Drosophila melanogaster: one gene and its partners. The protein of the gene in region 1 interacts with the protein of each later gene in a pairwise test. Each region holds a gene or a part of one and is shown in the gene's direction. Other genes may lie near its edges.

Region 1 (6,631 bases):
TGCAGATTTGGCCGCAGACATTCGGACAGATGGAGTCACGCACGCAGTGGCAACTTTACAGGATGTTTCAGCAGCAGCAGGACGAGTCCTTGCACAGTTCCTATGTGCCCACAACCGCTCCTCCTCCTCCTCCTCCTGCGGACGAAGTACGTGACACGCTGGCATGTCCTGCTGCCCGCTGGGCGACTACGGGAATGGGCGTGGCCGCGCCAGCGGTCGGAGTGGCTGGCTGCAGCAGCGGCGAATCCAAGCTCCCGTTTCCTCCGCCGCCACTGCCTCCGGTCGAGGAAGTGCCTCCCAAAATGCTGCTTGTGGCACGCGTCAGGAACCAACAGTCCATGGGCGTCGGTTTGCCCTTCATGATAACGGGTCCGCGGTACTCCAAGTGGAACGAATCATCCTGGTTGATCGCCATACAGAGGAGCCTGCAAAAAGGAAAGGAAAAAGGGGCAGATGCCATAAGTTTCAGGGCGGAAGGCACTGTGTAAACTCAACTGTTATTCTTCTTTGGGGTTTAGTATAGTGTAAACTGAAATTTCGTAAATAAAACTTTCTTAAGTAGAGTAGCGCAGTAAATAATTCTATCCAAAATTACAAAGTAATCACCGAGTTTTAATATCACTTACGAAGAGAAATAAAGACAGAACGTTATGTATAAGCTATATCTTTAAGATGCAAGCAAATTCAGTAAGCAAAGAATAGTAGTGCTTAACATTTGAGATGTGACTCCTTTGGCAGTCACATAAATTCGAGTTAGGGAGTTCCGTTGTGGACTTGGTCTGATGCCATAATGCACTCTGAATGATGTATATCTCGGGGGTCGTTTTTTTTTCTCAATCTGCACACCAATAAATTGCCATCGTAATTTCCACAGTGGGAGACCCCTTATTCAGCTATTAGATTGCATCGCCAGAAATTATGTAAATTCGGTTATTGTGCTCCATGTGCCCGCACAATCGAGTGCAGCATAAAACGGAAGCGAAATAAAAATTTCGCCAGGCTTGTGTGCATTTCCGCTTCCGCTTGGCTCGACCACAGTGCAACCACACATTGTTGCATTTATTCGGACTCATATATTTACGGCCAATACGCCGCTGATTGGATACGAATTTAATTCAATTAATTCGCTACCTTTGCGGCATCGGATAGCCTGCATATGGCCACAATTGCATTGCCCTTTTAATTAGCGCTCAGGTGAGCCTGTTCAGGTGAAAATATTGCCATGTTGTCCTGGGTAACCAGCACAAATATGCACCGTTTTAATGGACCTGAGTTAATTACACTGTGCCGAATGTCCTTCGACACTTATTTGCATATGCGATTAAGGCGAAGGACCCGAGGAATCCCTACCAGACATGATTATCCCAGTCATCATCTCTGGATCCCTTGGTGTGCGTTCTTAATTAATGTTTATGGCAGTGCTTAAATATTTACCCAGCGCTTAATTGTCAGCCCAAATATTAAACGTGCAAATACGGCGAATAATGGAATGAGTGGGCCTGAATAATGTATGGGAAAATTGATATGTCCCGCATAAACAAATATTAATTGGCAAAGGGTGATAGAAAAACATGTAAACAATGTGCACAATTGCTATTTAAAATATGAATTTATTTTGTAGCTGAGAAATTTACATGACAATTGGAGTCGTGTTTTAAAATACATTTGACGTGGCTAAAGCTCGAGAAAACACTCCTATTGTTTACAGATTTAAATCCGTGTATATGAATATTTGTTGCAATATTTATTTCAAAATGATCCCCTTGAAAATGTAATGGATTCATTGAAGGGGGATTAGTAAATCTCTAAAAAGATAGCTTAAAGCGGTTCGCTTTATGATAATATCGGTTTCACTCTGGAATGAAGTATCGAGTGACTTTGTATTAGTTTTCAGTTTTCCGTTGTAAAATCAAATTCATTAATGATTTAAACCGAAAAAAGCACTGAAACATTAAACAGCACACCATCAGTATTTATTTCGAAATAAATATATTTTTGTTGAATCAAGCATAATCCTTATAATGACAAACCAATTATTTTTCAGTTTAATATTGCAAAATCACAAAAACCTGCGTTTTTATGCGCCATTTGATTTTATGCTTATCGCCAAACATTACCCATTTAGCACAAAAATAATGTGAGAGCATACATATGTACTATATATTTTAAATTGAAAATTCCAATTTAGAATCTAATTTAGCTTTATGCTCATGAAACGCGTATTTAATACCTCCGCTACTCTCTGTACAAAGAGAGAGTGGAGAGAAAGCGGGAGAGTGAGCGCTTAGGTAAACAGCTGAGCGTTCTTAGAAATTGGACTTCGTTTGTTTAGTTTTCCAGCGGCAGCTGATGAGTGGGGTGGAAAATTGTGTGAGTGCGCTGCGTGCAGTGAATAAATGGTTCGGAAAAATGCCAGCAAATTTCAAAGTGCAATAGACTGTTTAGCAAAAACCAATCGAATTGAATCGAATCGAATCAGTTTCAATGGAGTCCTCGAGTTCCATTCGGTTTTTGAAGAGCTCATAGAAATATACTTGTCGGCTGGTAATCAAACACCTGTTTGCCAATTGCTTTGCTGGGAGCTTCACGGAAATAAAGAGGCCTAAAAAGTAATTGAACTGTATATCAGCTTTTGAATAAGCTTTACATACTATGTAATTATTTTCTTATATGATTGCAATGCTTAAAAATATTAAAATGAATATTCCGCATGCTCATTATGAGTTGTTTATGTTTATCAAAAGTTCTCCCAGCACATCATTGCCAGCTGCAAAAAATCGATAGCGCAAGAGAGTCACCCCCGCAAAAGAAATTCTCTCTTTTTTGTGTATTGCGACTCTTTGGCTTCAGCGGTGCGGGAGTTTTTTTGAAGCGGAATTTCAATTCTTTGGAGGGAATCATCAATTCAGCTCAATCGAAAATATTTGCCTACTTAAAGTGAATTAAATTTTGTTTGCAATATGCTTTCGCAGTTGCTACAGGCTTTCCAGCGGCTGGTAAGTCAATTAAAAAGCCAATTTGTGTGGGTTCGCTGCTGGTTGCCATTTCCACGGCATTTCTACGGTTTCCGCCGGGAAACTGAGTCACGGGCACGGCTGCGTCTGCGGGTGCGGGAACAACTGCGTCGGAATCCTGCCAATAGGGCCAGTCACCAGCGGAACCGGCGAACCCAGCGCCGCCATCTGGTCATGGACTACATCTTCGAGTGCTTCTTCGACGACACCTTCGAGCAGATCTCCCGCAACGGACTGCAGGACCGCCAGTCGCGGCGAGATGTCCTCGACCACCTGAGCTCCATCATCAAGGGCTGCAGCGGCGGCCAGAACTCGCAGACGGATGAGGTGGCCGCCATCGCGGTGACGGCGGCCATGAGGTACCACCGAATGGCCAAGGAGCAGAACGGCCAGGTGAGCTTTATGTACAAATCGAGTGTTGCCAATGTGGCATTTCTGTGTGCCAAACTTCAATAGTTAATATGAATAAATATTTACTTAAAAGAGTCCATACAAACTAGCACTGGGCTTTAGCAAAGCTCAACTTAATTAATAATGATTTGACAATTAGTTTCCGGTACTTAAAAAAACGAAATAAATAATTAGAACAAAAGCCAAGTCAGTCTATTTCGTTGTCGTATTAAATAAATGTTAATGTTTAAACCAAGCCTTATGAATGGAAACCAATGATTAATTAGCCAAATAACATTGCTTTGCTTTTGAGTCGAATAAAAGTGGAATTTAATAAAGCTTTCTAGAAAACGGTTAGAAAAGTACTAAAACTATGCATAAATATGTATATCCTGCTGCTGCGATCCAATTGACCTTTTAGAGTGTAAATAAATATGGAAAGTTGTTTCGGGCTTAATTTCCTTTGGCAGAGTCTGCTAAACTTAATTTTCTTCCATTTTAAATGCCATCTCTTCATATGGCAATTATTTATAATTTAAAAAGTAGCACTTCAGTTGGGATTCAGCCCCTTCACCACACCCTCCATTCCATGCGTATTCCCCAGGTCTGCCTCATGGGCAAGTATCACAACATCCTGTACATCGGACTGCGCACCTGCTGGGATTGGGGAGTCCGGGACTCGGAGGTGGTCGTCAAGCTGCTGGGTAAGTGGAGTCGGGCCAACTAAATAATTTAATTTAAATGCATATGTATGCGTATGTGTGCGTAAGCGTATGCGAGTGAGTGTGCGTGTGTGTGTGGCAAGACTTTCCTGTTTGCTTTTTGGGCGTGGCTGTGTGCTTTGCATACTTTAATAAATATCATCCCATCGCATCGGATTATTACGCCCATAAGCAGGCAGTTTTCACTTTAATCACGTGTTTCTGCTAATTGCGTTAAGAAAGTGTTGCTGATGTCGTTCTGTTGCTCTGTTGTTGCTGCATCGTAAAACTTGTAAAGTGCCTCAAAGTGTTGCAAGTTATTTGGGGCGTACGCATGTTGGCTGCCTCTAATTAAAAGGCTGCGTAAACTTTTGCGAGCAGGAAAAGTGCCTGGAATTAATGGCATGCCTCTGTCAGGGAATCTGGACTCGTGTGCAATAAAACTTGCTCCTTGTTTGTCCTGTCCTCACTCACCAAGTTGCTTTGTTGCTGACTCCAGCCTTTTGGACCCGCTGGCCTTGGTTTGGCAAACATTGTGGCCGTTTCCGTTTTCCGCTGACTTCATTTCTGGGCTGTGCCAAAAAGCCAACGAAACCGAAAGCCAAAAAACCAAAGCAGCAACAAGTGCAGCCACGTAATTAGCTTTTTTATGGCTGCGCTGCTGCGATTTGATGACATTATTTAACCGCTTTCTCCACTACCGACAATTTGCCTGCATCGCGGGAAAATCGGTCACAATGTGTATACAAATTTGGTTTATGGCATTACCCACTTCGAAATGTTATTAAACGTGGCTTGTTTTATATAAATTAACTTTTAACTATTTTCCTGTTCCCATGACTAATTTATCCCCTTTTTGTGCAATTCAGTGGCCATTTACGAGTGCGAGAAGACATATGAGCGCATTTTCCTGGGCGCCCTGTTTGGACCACATGCTCCGCACTTCATCGCCGGCTGGCGCAGTGACTTTCAGGATCAGGTGAGACTGGCAGAAAGACCCTATTCCTGGCCCCGTGGAATAGACACCCATGTATGTCCTTTGTTCGCAGCACGAGAATGTCCGGGCTATGGTTTACTTTCTGAAGCACGCCACACGCGAACAGCTCACATTGCCCGTCTGGATTCCGCGCTTCGAGCAGGAGCGACAGCTCAGGTGAGTCCTCAGCCCGGTCCCCATCCTGTCCTGACATTCTCCCCTTTTCCCCACTCCCCCCTCTTCACTCTTTCATGTGTCGCGCTCTTTTGCTGCCTCGAGCGATTTTCACACTAGCCGGGTTAATTGGATAGTTGCCTGGGTGCCATGCCGAGGTCTTCATTCCCCCAAAGAGTTTTTCATACTAGCTGTATGCTTGGACATTTATGGAGAGCTCTTACTTTCATAACAGTCACAGTAAGCCTTTCTATACACTTAGCTTATGGCTATCAGAGCAAATTATAAGTTGCTTACAAAGCAAATCGCCAAGAATTAAAGATTAAACTTTAAAATTCGGATTATGTGCCGAGATACCGATCAATCTTAATGGCTTGCCAGTTTTCCACACAATAATAATGTTTTCGGTAACAATAAGATACTATAAATACCCGCTGGGAATGCAAGGAAATGGTGGACGAACGTGAAGGGTAACCAGAGAAATGAAAGGATTTTAATTAAATTAATTCATCAGCCATTGTTGTGGCACCTACACAGAGTGTGTGTGTGTGTGTGACTGCCATAATTGAGTGAAAGATGGCGACAATTTACAACCACAGACACGACTGCGAATACACTTTTACAGAGAATGGCTCTCAATCACTGGCGGTGGCTTTCTCTCACTTCTGCTGGTGTCATGTATAATTAAGATTTTCATTTGCAGCTTGCTTTTGGGGGGGGGTTTCCCATTTTCCGCCTTCTTTTTCCGACCCTCCCACATGCACATGAGGTCCGTGTGTGAGTGTCGCTGATGCGATAAGCTGAAAACCAACAGGCAGCGATGTAAACCTTTTGTTATTTCGGCTTTGTTCGCCAGCACTTCGGAGGATTAAAGTCAAAAATGCGTGTAATAAGCGCACAAAGGCATGCTCAACCCCACCACGCCCACTAATCCACACAGATACAGCCCGCCCCCTTGGATATACCATACCCATACCATTGCCGAGTTGACTGTTTGCGCTTCTTAAACAAACAGAAGGCAAAAAACATACTGACTGGCAAGCATTAAGACGACATTTATGATGCCCTCTCGCAAAACAGCAGCCAAAGTCATGAATAAGCGTCAATAGCTGCAAATGTATGTGGGTGTACGATTGGGAGTGTGTGTGTGGAGTGTGCGACCCAAGAGCTGAGAAAAACAAGCAATGTGACAATAAACGTTTCGGCCAAATGCCGTTGAAGTTGCATAAATCAGTGCTGGAGCAGCATATTGCCAAAGTTTTCGCAGAACAGTGAACACTCGTGAAAAGGAATTGTGTTGAAGCTAAAAGCTCACAATGAGATTTACACAATTTACTTACGATGTTAGGGTTCTAATGCAACAGTAACGGATTTGC
Region 2 (6,778 bases), on another chromosome or scaffold:
TATACACCAAAAACACTTACCGGCCCTATGCTCTTTCAAGGCCCTGTAAAGGTCCTTTGCACCCAATGTGACCTTTTGCCCCTTAATAAAAGTGGGAATGGTATACCTGAATTATTTGAAAAAATTGTTCACACTTGAAAAATATGTTGGCGTCGCACGTTTGCACTATCTTACCAAAAGGATAACGCAGAAAAAATATTCGATCGTTCTCGAGGATTCTCCGGGAGATCTTCATTCTTAAAGGACTGCATTTTATTACGATTACTACGTTATGTTTCGCTACATAACAAATATTATGCAAGTGAAACAATCCAGACAGCAAGAAATAAATTTGAATTAATGATTTTCTAATCAATAAGTAATTAGCCATTAAACAGCTTGTCTAAAATGGGACAGAATACGATTGTCGAGCTACCCGACTATCAGATACCTGCTACTCAGGTAAAATTTATTCCACACGCCTTCAACGTCACTGGCACTTTAAAATCTTGAACTTCTACTATAATATAATGACCAGCATTTTTGGTCTTCTGCAAAGAAGTCGTTACCAAGAATCTAAAGCTTTTTGTAATTTGTTGACGTAGGTTTCCGAGATCTCGACGCTTATATGGACAGACATAGTCGGATCGAATGATCAAAAATATTTATACCTTCTAGGCTTGAAGTCACTTGCACTTTTCAACGTATAACATGCTTTCCAACGAACTAATTTATTAAATTGCAATGCCAGAAATTCAACTAAACAGCAATACGTCCGCGCGTAGAAAAGATCTTAAAGGTACTGAGTGTGAGCAACATGATTAGCTCTCGGTGCTAAATTCGCCGGAGATAACCCAGATTAGATTTCGGTTATATTTTTTGAAGATAATGGCTTTATGTTGAATACCAGTCTGGTTCAAAAAAACCTTAAATGATATGCTAAAGATAAAAAGATATAAAAGTATGTACTTACTATTTGTACTTTGTTTTATTGAATCATTTTGTCTAGACTTCAACTTAAACCTTAATAACATAAAACACCGGCATGTGCAGAATTTAAGAAGTCGCCCAAATACAATAAATAATAATAATTTTTATTAAGACACTGAGAGAAAAATTAAGTTTCGATATTAAATTAGGAACGAACGATAAAAAAAAAAAAAACTTAAAAGCAAACACATAAGTTCAAGAACGAGTAACCGAAATTATAAACTTGAGAACGAACGTTCACATATAAACAAAAGTCTCACTTCAATCCTCAAGTATCGTTAAGATATATGACTTGTAGTTAAGGCACATTGTTTATATGTTATTAGCCAGAAAATTGGGCAATACAGCTTTACATATATAATTGTACACTTTCCTCGTAGAATATAAGGGTTAAAAACTATGAAACAAGAAAGTGTTTTTGACCCTACAAATGTGTATTTATTCAATTAAATCTGGGTATCTGATAGGAATTGAGTTCTTTCTTGTTAGTTCAAATTACATTATTTTTTTTATCAATGGAACTATAGTCAATCCATAATCAAATGGAAAGTTTGTCGAACCTGTAAAATCTGGAAATTGAGATTATTCATGCAGTTTTTGGTGGCGCCTTTTATTTTTATACCCTTGCAAATGGTACATTGATTTCATTCAGATTCGTATATTCAACAGTAGAGTCGATACAGTCATGTTTGTCTTCGTTCAATTTCAGTTAGTATACATATAGGTTGGACCACTATATCATATTGCTGTTATAGGGATAATCGAAAAATAATGGTAAGTATTAATATATGTATGAGATATACAACAGTTTTTGACCATATTTTAATTTGATGAAAATCAAAAGAAAATATATCATATAACTGCCGTACAGCCAAGGCAAACCAAATTTTAATTAAAGTATTTAATTATCGTTATAATTGTGTTCAATTATCCGCCGGCTAGATCGGAAACAGGAAGTTACTGTTGATGTATATTCGTTTAAGGAAATACGGTAAGAACGTTGGCAGCATGGGTTAATTTTTCAGCTTTTGCAAAAGCTCCAAAGTAAATGCAGGCTTGTGGTAACTATCATCGCATGTGAACAGCGTTGTACACACACACACTTGCACATTTACACCTGGGTATTGAAGTTATCAGCTAAAAGAGAACTGACTTCCTCCGATTGTACATATATATATATATATATATATATATGTATACAAACATATATATGTGTGTAGAGCAGATAACCACTGCATGCGGAGAAGAGCTTGGCAGGTGTTAGTGAGTTCAGGTGAAATTGATTATGCGAATGGGGGTAAAAAAAATATGGCCAAACAGTGAGGGAGCCAGTTAAAAAACGGTGGTCGATCCAGCCGGTCCGACATTTCAGTTGAGAAGCCAGAAAGAATAGAAAACCGAGAGCCATGAGAGAATACAGCCTGTGTATGATTGTGATAGCAGCTTTCATTGCCAGCCAGCTGGACAGCACCTCAGCCCTCCGTAGGTTACCACATTTTGGATGAGTTTTTTCAAATGACTTACTTCAAATTATTATTGCCATTGCAGAGTGCTATTCGTGCACATCGACGACGAATGACACTGGAAATTGTTTAACGAGTCCATCTACTCAAACTTCTATAGAGTGTGATAATGAATGCTATACTCTTATTAACGCAGGTGGGTTTGTATGACTCATGACCGACTATTTCATATTCTTAGACGGGGGTAGTGGCCCTCTTATCGATCAGTGCAACCAAAGGTGATAAGCGATTATCTCTTTTTCTTTTTGATAGCTATTGATCCTTGTTTTCTTTTCTAATTTCGTGCGGATCGAAAAAGGTTTATGATGTTGTGACTCATTTGGCAGTTACTGCACTACCTGGCTTTTTCGTGTTGTTGTCTAAGATTTAAATATTGCGTATAATTTGATTTAATAACGAAGAGAACGCTAAAGTGGAGTCACTCGACCATCAGATACCTCTTTATTCAGCTTGTGGGAGTTTAAGGTACACATTTAAACATTCTGTTGAAGTATCAGTAGAATCTGGCACGCTTTGTGGGCTTTAGAGTGGGCGTGAAAATGATCTGAATGAAATTAGCACAGCTTAGGCGCCACTAGAATCTGCAGGCTCTCAACTTATAAGGAATATATAAGTTATATTAGAAATCATTATAAGTTTATATTAGAAATCATACGAAGTTTTGCTCTGAACCATATTCCCTTGCATCTAGTTATTGATTTTCTGTATCCCAATAGGAACTCTAACTCGTGGCTGCTTGATTAATGGCACTGCGTGCACCTTACCATCCTGCTCGACCTGCAAGGAAGACAATTGCAATTTGAATTTGGTGTGCCAGCAGTGCCTCGGCGAAGCGAATTGCGCCACGACCAACGTGACGGATACGCAATACAATGCAGTGTGCCCCAATAATGGACAGGTCTGCGTGAATCAGTTGAATGACAACAAGACGGTGACCCGTCAATGTGGTGACCCCTGTGCTGCTGGAACGGAATCCACGTGCTCCTCATGCTCGGCATCCCTGTGCAATGTGGGACTATTCCCCGCCAATCGTCGCCAGTGCTATAATTGCTCAGGAGAGAACTGCAATGCGGTCTCAAATACCTTGGTCGCGGGATGTAGTCAAATCGATGCCGGGTGCTTCACCACCGGAACGTCTGCGAGCAACATGACCCGTGGTTGCACATCGGCCACCACGGAAATCAAGTGTGCGTCGGACAGCACTGATCCCAGTTGCCTCGTCTGCAACTCCGACTTTTGCAATAGTCCGACCTACGAACGAGAGGCCGGTTCCTGTATCATTTGCGAGAACTGTGCGGAGCAACAGGTTGCTACCAATGCGAAGTCCTGCGGACAGGCCAAGTACAACCAGGAAGTCGGGTGTTATACCATGACCTCAGGAACCAATGTTACCCGAGGGTGCCTAAACACCTTGGAGGCTGGCTGCTCTACAACCAATGCCTGCACTTCCTGCTCCGAAAATGGCTGCAATGTGGCTGCCGGCGAGTTCCAGTGCATTACATGCATTTCGAATGAGGTTTCCGGCTGCTGGTCGGCCAAATATCCGGACACGCTCCCTTTGATCAACTGCCCCAATGGAACGTGCTACAGCGGAGTCTGGAGTAAGTTGGTACCAAGTCTAAGCACAGCGAATCAATGCTATAGTTTTCAAAGATTTTATTTTATAATGTAAAAGGGTATTCCCAAATTGCATTATTATTATGCCAGCAAAAATCCTAACAATTGCCTTTCAACATTTTCCCCCAGATGAACTTGGAGTGCGAGGATGTTTTACCGCTGCCAGCCACCTGATGCAGTACCAGTGCAATGCCAAAGTGGAGGCCCATCAGTGCGAATTGTGTACGGAGAGCAAGTGCAACAAGGTACCCTTCAATGGAGCAGGCGCACTCAGGAATGTGGGCGTGGTCGGCCTTCTGACGGGAGTGGTGATCGCTCTACGCAGTGCCCTGTAATCCAACCACCTCCACGTAGTTGGATGATCCAATCAAATTACCGGGTGCCTGGGTCTATGAGTAATGTTAACTATTACAAAGCAACAGACAAAAAGACATAACCTAATTATAGGAGCTGAAGCATTTTAAGAACACTTCCATAATCCCAAATAAATCATTTTAATAAAACAATTACTCTTTCACAGTAGTTTAGTAATTATGTCCTTGGAAAACCCTGTTTTCATTGATGGCTAGTGGTAAAAGAGTTTTCAACCTGCTAGGCCTTATCAAATAAAGAAATAATCACAACGCCTTATCAACCGCAGTACCATTAATAATATACTTTGTACATATATGTGTGTATATTTATTGCATCAATCAAAATGAGAGTTTATATTAACAATAGTTCGAAGAAATTTGTTTGGGTGCACTAGAAGAGCCAGTTGGAAATGTCTCAGAAAGTATTTGTAGCATTCTTAGGTAACTCAAATTACATTTTCCATTACATGACGATGGTGATTTCGCCGAATTCCATAATTTTGGTTTTCAATTTGCCATTATTAAGCTGAACAGGCCTATAATATAATCATAAGTTTGCATTTTTCACTCCTAAAGAGCCAGCCGGCTAAACAGAAGATCATTAGACTTGAGTATATTATTCGCGATCCTGCATTCGTGGCCAAACCATTTTTATCTATTTCCACATAGTTGCAATCGTCTTCGAAACACCTCTCACAGAGTTCTGCATGTTTCTCGCAGTGTTCCAGTGAACTCTCGTCCATGTCGGAAATGCAGCTTCTCACCATAAAGCCATCTGGTCCTCCAGCACTGCTGTTGAAGTTGAAGTACATAGATACGCAACCGTTCAATTCGCCTAACTTTATGTGGCACATCTTTTTGCCCTTCCTAGTTCTGGTTTTCCCCTCATTGGGTGAGCAAAATTTACAACTGAGGCATCTTATAGGCGGAGAAAGCGTTGTTGTTTCCTCGACAGGTGACGAACTTTCCTCCATTCCGGTGGTATGGTCTGAGCTCATAGTGGACTTTACGGTGGGTAACACTGTACTTGTTTGCTGCTGGTAAAGTCCCTGGACTTCGAGGACTGACAGTATAGTAAGTAGAATAATATTATTGGAAAGCAGACACATTCTTAAACAAAACGTATTTAATTTCTAGATATATTCAATTTTGGTTCCGCTGATCCGTGCTTATAGACACGCTTCGATGACTTAGCCAACTGCAGTCTAGGTTCTGTTGAGCCATTTTATATCCTCTAAATGATATGGTTTCAGGAAACGTACTCAAGGGACCAAATTTAAAAACCGTTCCCAGTATCCCTGATCCATTAAGCAGCTGCTGAACAATAATTATCTTGTAATATAAGTACTAGTTATGTTCTCAATCAAATGTTTCGCCTTGAAATGCTTTATTTTATATACATTTGCATATTAAGTACAGTATATTTCACTATTTAAGAAAGAAAACGAAAATCCCCACGCGCTGCAAATAGATTAAGTTTCGTAACAGAAATTTATATTAATTGGGCTTATGTATTTCATAGATAAACTAATTTATCTAGACAGACAGCGATATAATCTGCGATTTTCAGTATTAGTCATACCTATCGATTTTTAAGTATGCCAATCTCCATTTACTTTTTAATTGTTATGACTCAGAATAGCGTGGGTGGATTTTTAAAAAGCCACCTGCCAGCTAACCAAACCGATGCTCCAGATAAGGAATAGCACCCCCGGATGATGGGTGACTGCTGCAGAGCCCGGAGTGACTTCATATTCAGTCATGTTGTGAACATTACAATTGTCCTCGTAGCACGTGGGACACAGCTTCTCATTCTCGGCGCAATAGCGAGATAGCTCCATATCTAACTCGGATACACAGCCCCGATGCAGGAAGTACTTCTTCCCCGGAACGACATTGGGATCGTTGAGCAGTATGGTGCGACATCCATTCCTTTTGCCAGGTATCGGGCCGCAGTTTGACTTTGTTTCATTGGTGATCGTTTTGTTGCAGAACATGCAGGAATAGCAGCTTAGGGGTTTCTGTTCTGGATCTGCAACTGGGGGCTTGTGTGGTGCCAAGGTTGTTTCTTCTGGGGGTGGAGTTGTGGTGTCCTCCTGGGGCCCATCAGCCGGGTAATCGGGCGATCCTCCCATTGGTTCCTCAGTTTTGTTTGTTGGGTGAGTTTCCAGGACCTCCTCTAGTGAAGTTGATGGGCGAGTATCGGGAGTCACTGAAGAGTCTGAAGACGAGTCCGAAGTATCCATATGTCCGGACGATTGGTCTACTTTGTCGGTTTGAGGAACTTGAGTTGGCGCAAAGCCACCGGAATTCCCG
Region 3 (4,622 bases), about 24 Mb from region 1:
GGTTTTTGAAGTTTTTGGGAAAGCACTTCATTTGGCTAGGTGTGAGAAAACAAGAATACTATTTGATCAATGAGGAACAGTTGTTGCAAAGTATGCATCGCAAACTAAACAACCTTAATACAATTATGAGCATCTATAAGTATATGGAATGGCTTCACCGAAAACTAATATTCGTCAATCGGGAGTATGATCTATTTTATATTCGTCAAATGGCAGCCCCCTGTCCTCATAAGTGCGAGTGTTGTTATAGCCGCGATTCACTTATTTTAAAAATAGACTGCAGGAATAAATTTGTATATAACTTTCCCGATATCGTTGCTAGAAATAGTCGTCTTATGTGAAAACAAAATATGTCTAGTCCTATGGAACTGCATTTATCTAAAAATAATATATCAAACATAACCATCGCAATGCTACCAAAGGAACTAAGGTTTCTTGATCTACGTTTCAATAATCTCGTTACCCTGGATGACAAAGTCCTGAGTTACCTTAAGAAAAATTCAATTAAAACTAAACTTTCTGGGAATCCCTGGAATTGCGACTGTAAGTCGAGATCAGTCCTTTCCATTTTGAGAGATCACGAACCCCTTGAGTATGACGTCACGTTGAAACGTTGCAATATATCTCCAACGGATTGTCCAGATGTTTGTGTCTGCTGCTTGGATAACTTGACATGGCCATCATTTATTGTCGATTGCAGAGGAGAAGGACTTCTACAGATGCCTTCACTTTCAAGCAGGGTTACCTATGTGGACCTAAGGAATAACAACCTTACGGCCCTGTCACAGAAGAATCGTTCTTCTATCGAGAACAGATCGTTAAAGCTGCATTTGCTTGACAATCCCTGGTCTTGTTCTTGCAACGATATAGAAAAGATAAATTTCATGAAGAGTGTGTCTTCAAGTATAGTAGACTTCACTGAGATAAAGTGCAGTAATGGTGAGAAGCTAGTCTCGATTAATCAGCATATTGTGTGTCCATCTGACCTCTTTTATTATTTGGCACTCGCGATCTCCCTAGTGGCCACGATCATTGCCTTAAACTTTTTGATATGGTTCAGACAACCGGTCCTGGTCTGGTTCTATGAGCACGGTGTGTGTCTCAGTCTGTCAGCCAAGCGGGAACTTGATAAGGACAAAAGGTTCGATGCCTTTCTGGCGTTTACCCATAAGGACGAGGCTCTGCTGGAGGAGTTCGTGGATAGGCTGGAACGTGGTAGGCCCAGGTTCCAACTCTGCTTCTACCTGCGAGACTGGCTGGCGGGCGAATCTATTCCCGATTGCATTGGTCAATCTATAAAGGACTCGCGGCGCATTATTGTCCTCATGACAGAGAACTTTATGAATTCCACTTGGGGTCGCCTCGAGTTCCGACTGGCCCTCCACGCCACCTCACGCGATCGGTGCAAGCGTCTGATAGTGGTGCTCTATCCAAACGTGAAGAACTTCGACAGTCTGGATAGCGAGCTAAGGACCTACATGGCATTTAACACCTATCTGGAGAGAAGCCATCCGAACTTTTGGAACAAGCTGATTTACTCGATGCCGCTACTACCAAGCTACGTTGACTAGGACATTACATTATTAATTTCAATAAGAAACAAAAATATATAATTTGTTGTCTCCCACACAGTTTATTTTTTGAGATTTACATAGTTCCCGGAAGTATTCCGACAGGTTTCCGGGTCAACTGGTTTAGCAGCAAGGACCGCAACCGCAAAAACTGCTGGTGCCGCCGCAGCAAGGTCCACATCCTCCGCAAGGACCACAGCAGGGGCCACACCCACCACAGCAGGGGCCACATCCACCACAGGGTCCGCATCCGCCGCAGGGGCCACAGCAGGGGCCCTGATAAATCATATTAAAAGTATTCACTCGACTTACGAGACCGATAAATACATACCCCAACCAAAACGTAATTCGGGTTGACGTACATGTACATGATTTTGTTTCTTAAAAGATATTTCCCAACCGGAATCGAAAGGAACCGAAAATTTAGGTGTTAACTATTGAAGGTGGAACGGAGAACTGACTGAATGTGATCCAAATTAGCCGAAGCTTCATTTGACAGCAGTCATGAGAATTTCAAGGCTAATATGATCCGACAAATTATATTCATTATTATTATTATATTCTGGTATCCCAAAACCCATAATCTAGTTAGCTATGGATATTTTCGACAGTTGTCAAATTCATATACCAACTTGTGAGTCAGGTTTCCATCATTCTTATTTTGGTTCTCGGCCTGTAATCATCGAAATATTTTTTCGTCCTAAGTTATTTCTTTGTTAGGTTCAAAGTGAGTATTTCTCAAAGTGTAAGCATGCGAAGTTTTAACAAAATTTTTCTTAGAACTTTACGGAACCATCATGTGTTGCGGACCCCTTGGATTCTGCGGACCCTGTAGCCCGTGCGGCGGTCCTTGCGGACCTTGCGGACCCTGTGGTCCTTGCGGTTCCTGCTGTAGTCCTTGTGGATCTTGCTGTGCGCCTTGCGGCCCTTGCGGTCCTTGCGGTCCTTGCTGCGGGGGCTGTGGTCCATGCGGGCCTTGTGGACCTTGCTGTGGACCTTGTAGGCCATATTGCGGGTGCTGAACAACAACCACAACATGTAAAATATCTTTTTCCTGTGAACCACAAAGTGGAACTTAGGACTGAATGCGGATAAACTCTTCTTAGCTCGCGGGCCTAGTCAATAAAATAAGAATTTCAAAATACCTTTTCCGATGGTTTTTCTCTTCTAAATGGTGCAACCTTTGTCTTAGCTATGGATACCAAATGCGTGACAATAATAATTTATGTAATATAATTGCGAAAATTAAAATTGTCAATTCTTGGTGGATTGCGATCGTTAGAGGGGGCGGAGGAACATCCTACGTTCATATCGACTAGGCTTGTGATCCAGCTCAAGAATAAATAACCTTTTCTTCTATTCACTATAGCATAGCTATTACTCTACGAGTGGCGGGTATAAAACCTGCAACCGTGAATTTAAACCTCATTCAATAATAGTATTTGTCTGCAAACGGACAAATGTCCGATAACAATAATTCTATAACAATAATAACTATTTTTAACCATCAACCGCTGTACATAAACATAATTCGAATTCATAGTAGGCTATGGAAATCGTTCTTGACCTGTCAGACCCACCTAACCTTGTAAGTTCGGAAAATATATCATTCTCATCTCGACCCTTGTGCTGCTCGCATCAAAATTTTGTTGTTTTGTCCCAAATACTTGTTTTTTTTTTTTGGCTTCTAAAGACCGTTGGTAAAAATGTTTATTGTAAAGTTAAAATAGTATACATATTTATTTCGTTTATTTTAGACTTCTCGAATTAATCATGTGCTGTGGACCTTGTGGATCGTGCTGCGGATATTACTGCTGTGGTCCCTGCTGTGGACCTTGTGGACCCCGATGTGGGCCGTGCGGATCCTGCTGTGGACCCTGTGGACCCTGTGGACCTTGTTGCGGACCATTTGGCAGTTGTTGCGGTGGCTGTTGGTGCTAAATGCTCGCAATTGGCAGCCGAATCGATTTGTGAAACCATACCACAATCCCACCATGGTTAAACTAACACCTGAAAGTTAAAAGCCACAAATATATATATATGTATCTTAATGCAGATCCATGTTATCATTGGGATAGTTCACCATTGCTCTTACTCGGCGTTACTCGTTGACATAATAGGAATGCGTTTCGTAATATGTATGTGGGTGTAGGTTTCTTGATCAGGAACACTAGCCGGATACTAAGCGAGCAGATTGTATTGCGCTGCGAGCACAAGTTGCTATATGGAAATGGTTGAGACGTTCTTGGTAATACCATTTTATTTTACACGAATGACGTCTCAAGGTGATTGATTCTGCCTTCCGACGAGCTTCACTAGGACGTTCTTTGTTGTTCCCATCTGGATCAGTTGTACTGCTTGCTACGGCAGGACATTTTCTTAAGCACGTTATTGTAAAATTCACTAAAGAACAAAATTAAATTCCTTTTAGGGCATTGATATAAAATTTTTATTAATTTTGCATTTGTTTATTTTAAATCTAGAAGGCTTTGAATCTATATTCTACTTTCCTGTGCAAGTTCTATGTAAGCAAACATCAGTTTTCATCTTTCCCTTAACCCAAGAACATCAAAATTTGAGCTCTTTTCCAAGCTTTTTAGGTTCAGCACTTTGTACGTAGTTTTTTATTTAAGAAAATTGTTGGTATAATAGCTTTTCTTTTAGTTCTCAGAAATTAAAAAAAAACATGGGCTGTGCACCGGGCGGACCTTGCTGCGGACCCTGTGGACCGTGTTGCGGACCCTGTTGTGGACCCTGTTGTGGACCCTGTTGTGGACCCTGTTGTGGACCTTGCGGGCCCTGCTGTGGCCCCTGTGGACCTCGTTGTGGCCCTTGCGGACCCTGTGGACCGTGCTGTGGCACTATGGAAAAACGAAATGGCCTTCAGCGGTGCTGTCCTTTTTAGCTGTGATTTCCCGAATAAGCAACCAAACTGTGTCCAAAAAAAGATTTCATTAGTCTATTGTGACAAATAAAGGGGAACTATGAAAACTATCAAATTAATGGATCTTAGCAGGGAGCCAATGTAATCATTGCAATTTCATTCATTCA

What was found. The genes of interacting proteins can lie anywhere in the genome.
Region 2: the proteins of stops (region 1) and CG10650 interact in a two-hybrid assay, tested with the Drosophila melanogaster proteins (one large-scale study listed by BioGRID).
Region 3: the proteins of stops (region 1) and Mst84Db interact in a two-hybrid assay, tested with the Drosophila melanogaster proteins (one large-scale study listed by BioGRID).

The regions. Positions count from the first base shown.
Region 1 is NT_033777.3:31,164,803-31,171,433, reverse strand, and holds the start of stops (slow termination of phototransduction), read left to right. Parts: upstream 1-2,829; 5' UTR 2,830-2,960; coding exon 2,961-3,407; intron 3,408-4,008; coding exon 4,009-4,108; intron 4,109-4,974; coding exon 4,975-5,084; intron 5,085-5,154; coding exon 5,155-5,258; intron 5,259-6,631. Other genes in the region: Gycbeta100B (guanylyl cyclase beta-subunit at 100B), read right to left, coding at 101-425.
Region 2 is NT_033779.5:18,991,452-18,998,229, reverse strand, and holds CG10650 (uncharacterized protein), read left to right. Parts: upstream 1-2,295; 5' UTR 2,296-2,375; coding exon 2,376-2,451; intron 2,452-2,517; coding exon 2,518-2,628; intron 2,629-3,208; coding exon 3,209-4,093; intron 4,094-4,238; coding exon 4,239-4,444; 3' UTR 4,445-4,870; downstream 4,871-6,778. Other genes in the region: CG31792 (uncharacterized protein), read right to left, coding at 21-106, 175-251; CG46465 (uncharacterized protein), read right to left, coding at 4,999-5,571; CG15169 (uncharacterized protein), read right to left, coding at 6,118-6,778.
Region 3 is NT_033777.3:7,363,252-7,367,873, reverse strand, and holds Mst84Db (Male-specific RNA 84Db), read left to right. Parts: upstream 1-2,246; 5' UTR 2,247-2,298; intron 2,299-2,351; 5' UTR 2,352-2,368; coding exon 2,369-2,593; 3' UTR 2,594-2,714; downstream 2,715-4,622. Other genes in the region: Mst84Da (Male-specific RNA 84Da), read right to left, coding at 1,695-1,847, 1,903-1,941; Mst84Dc (Male-specific RNA 84Dc), read left to right, coding at 3,345-3,512; Mst84Dd (Male-specific RNA 84Dd), read left to right, coding at 4,258-4,476.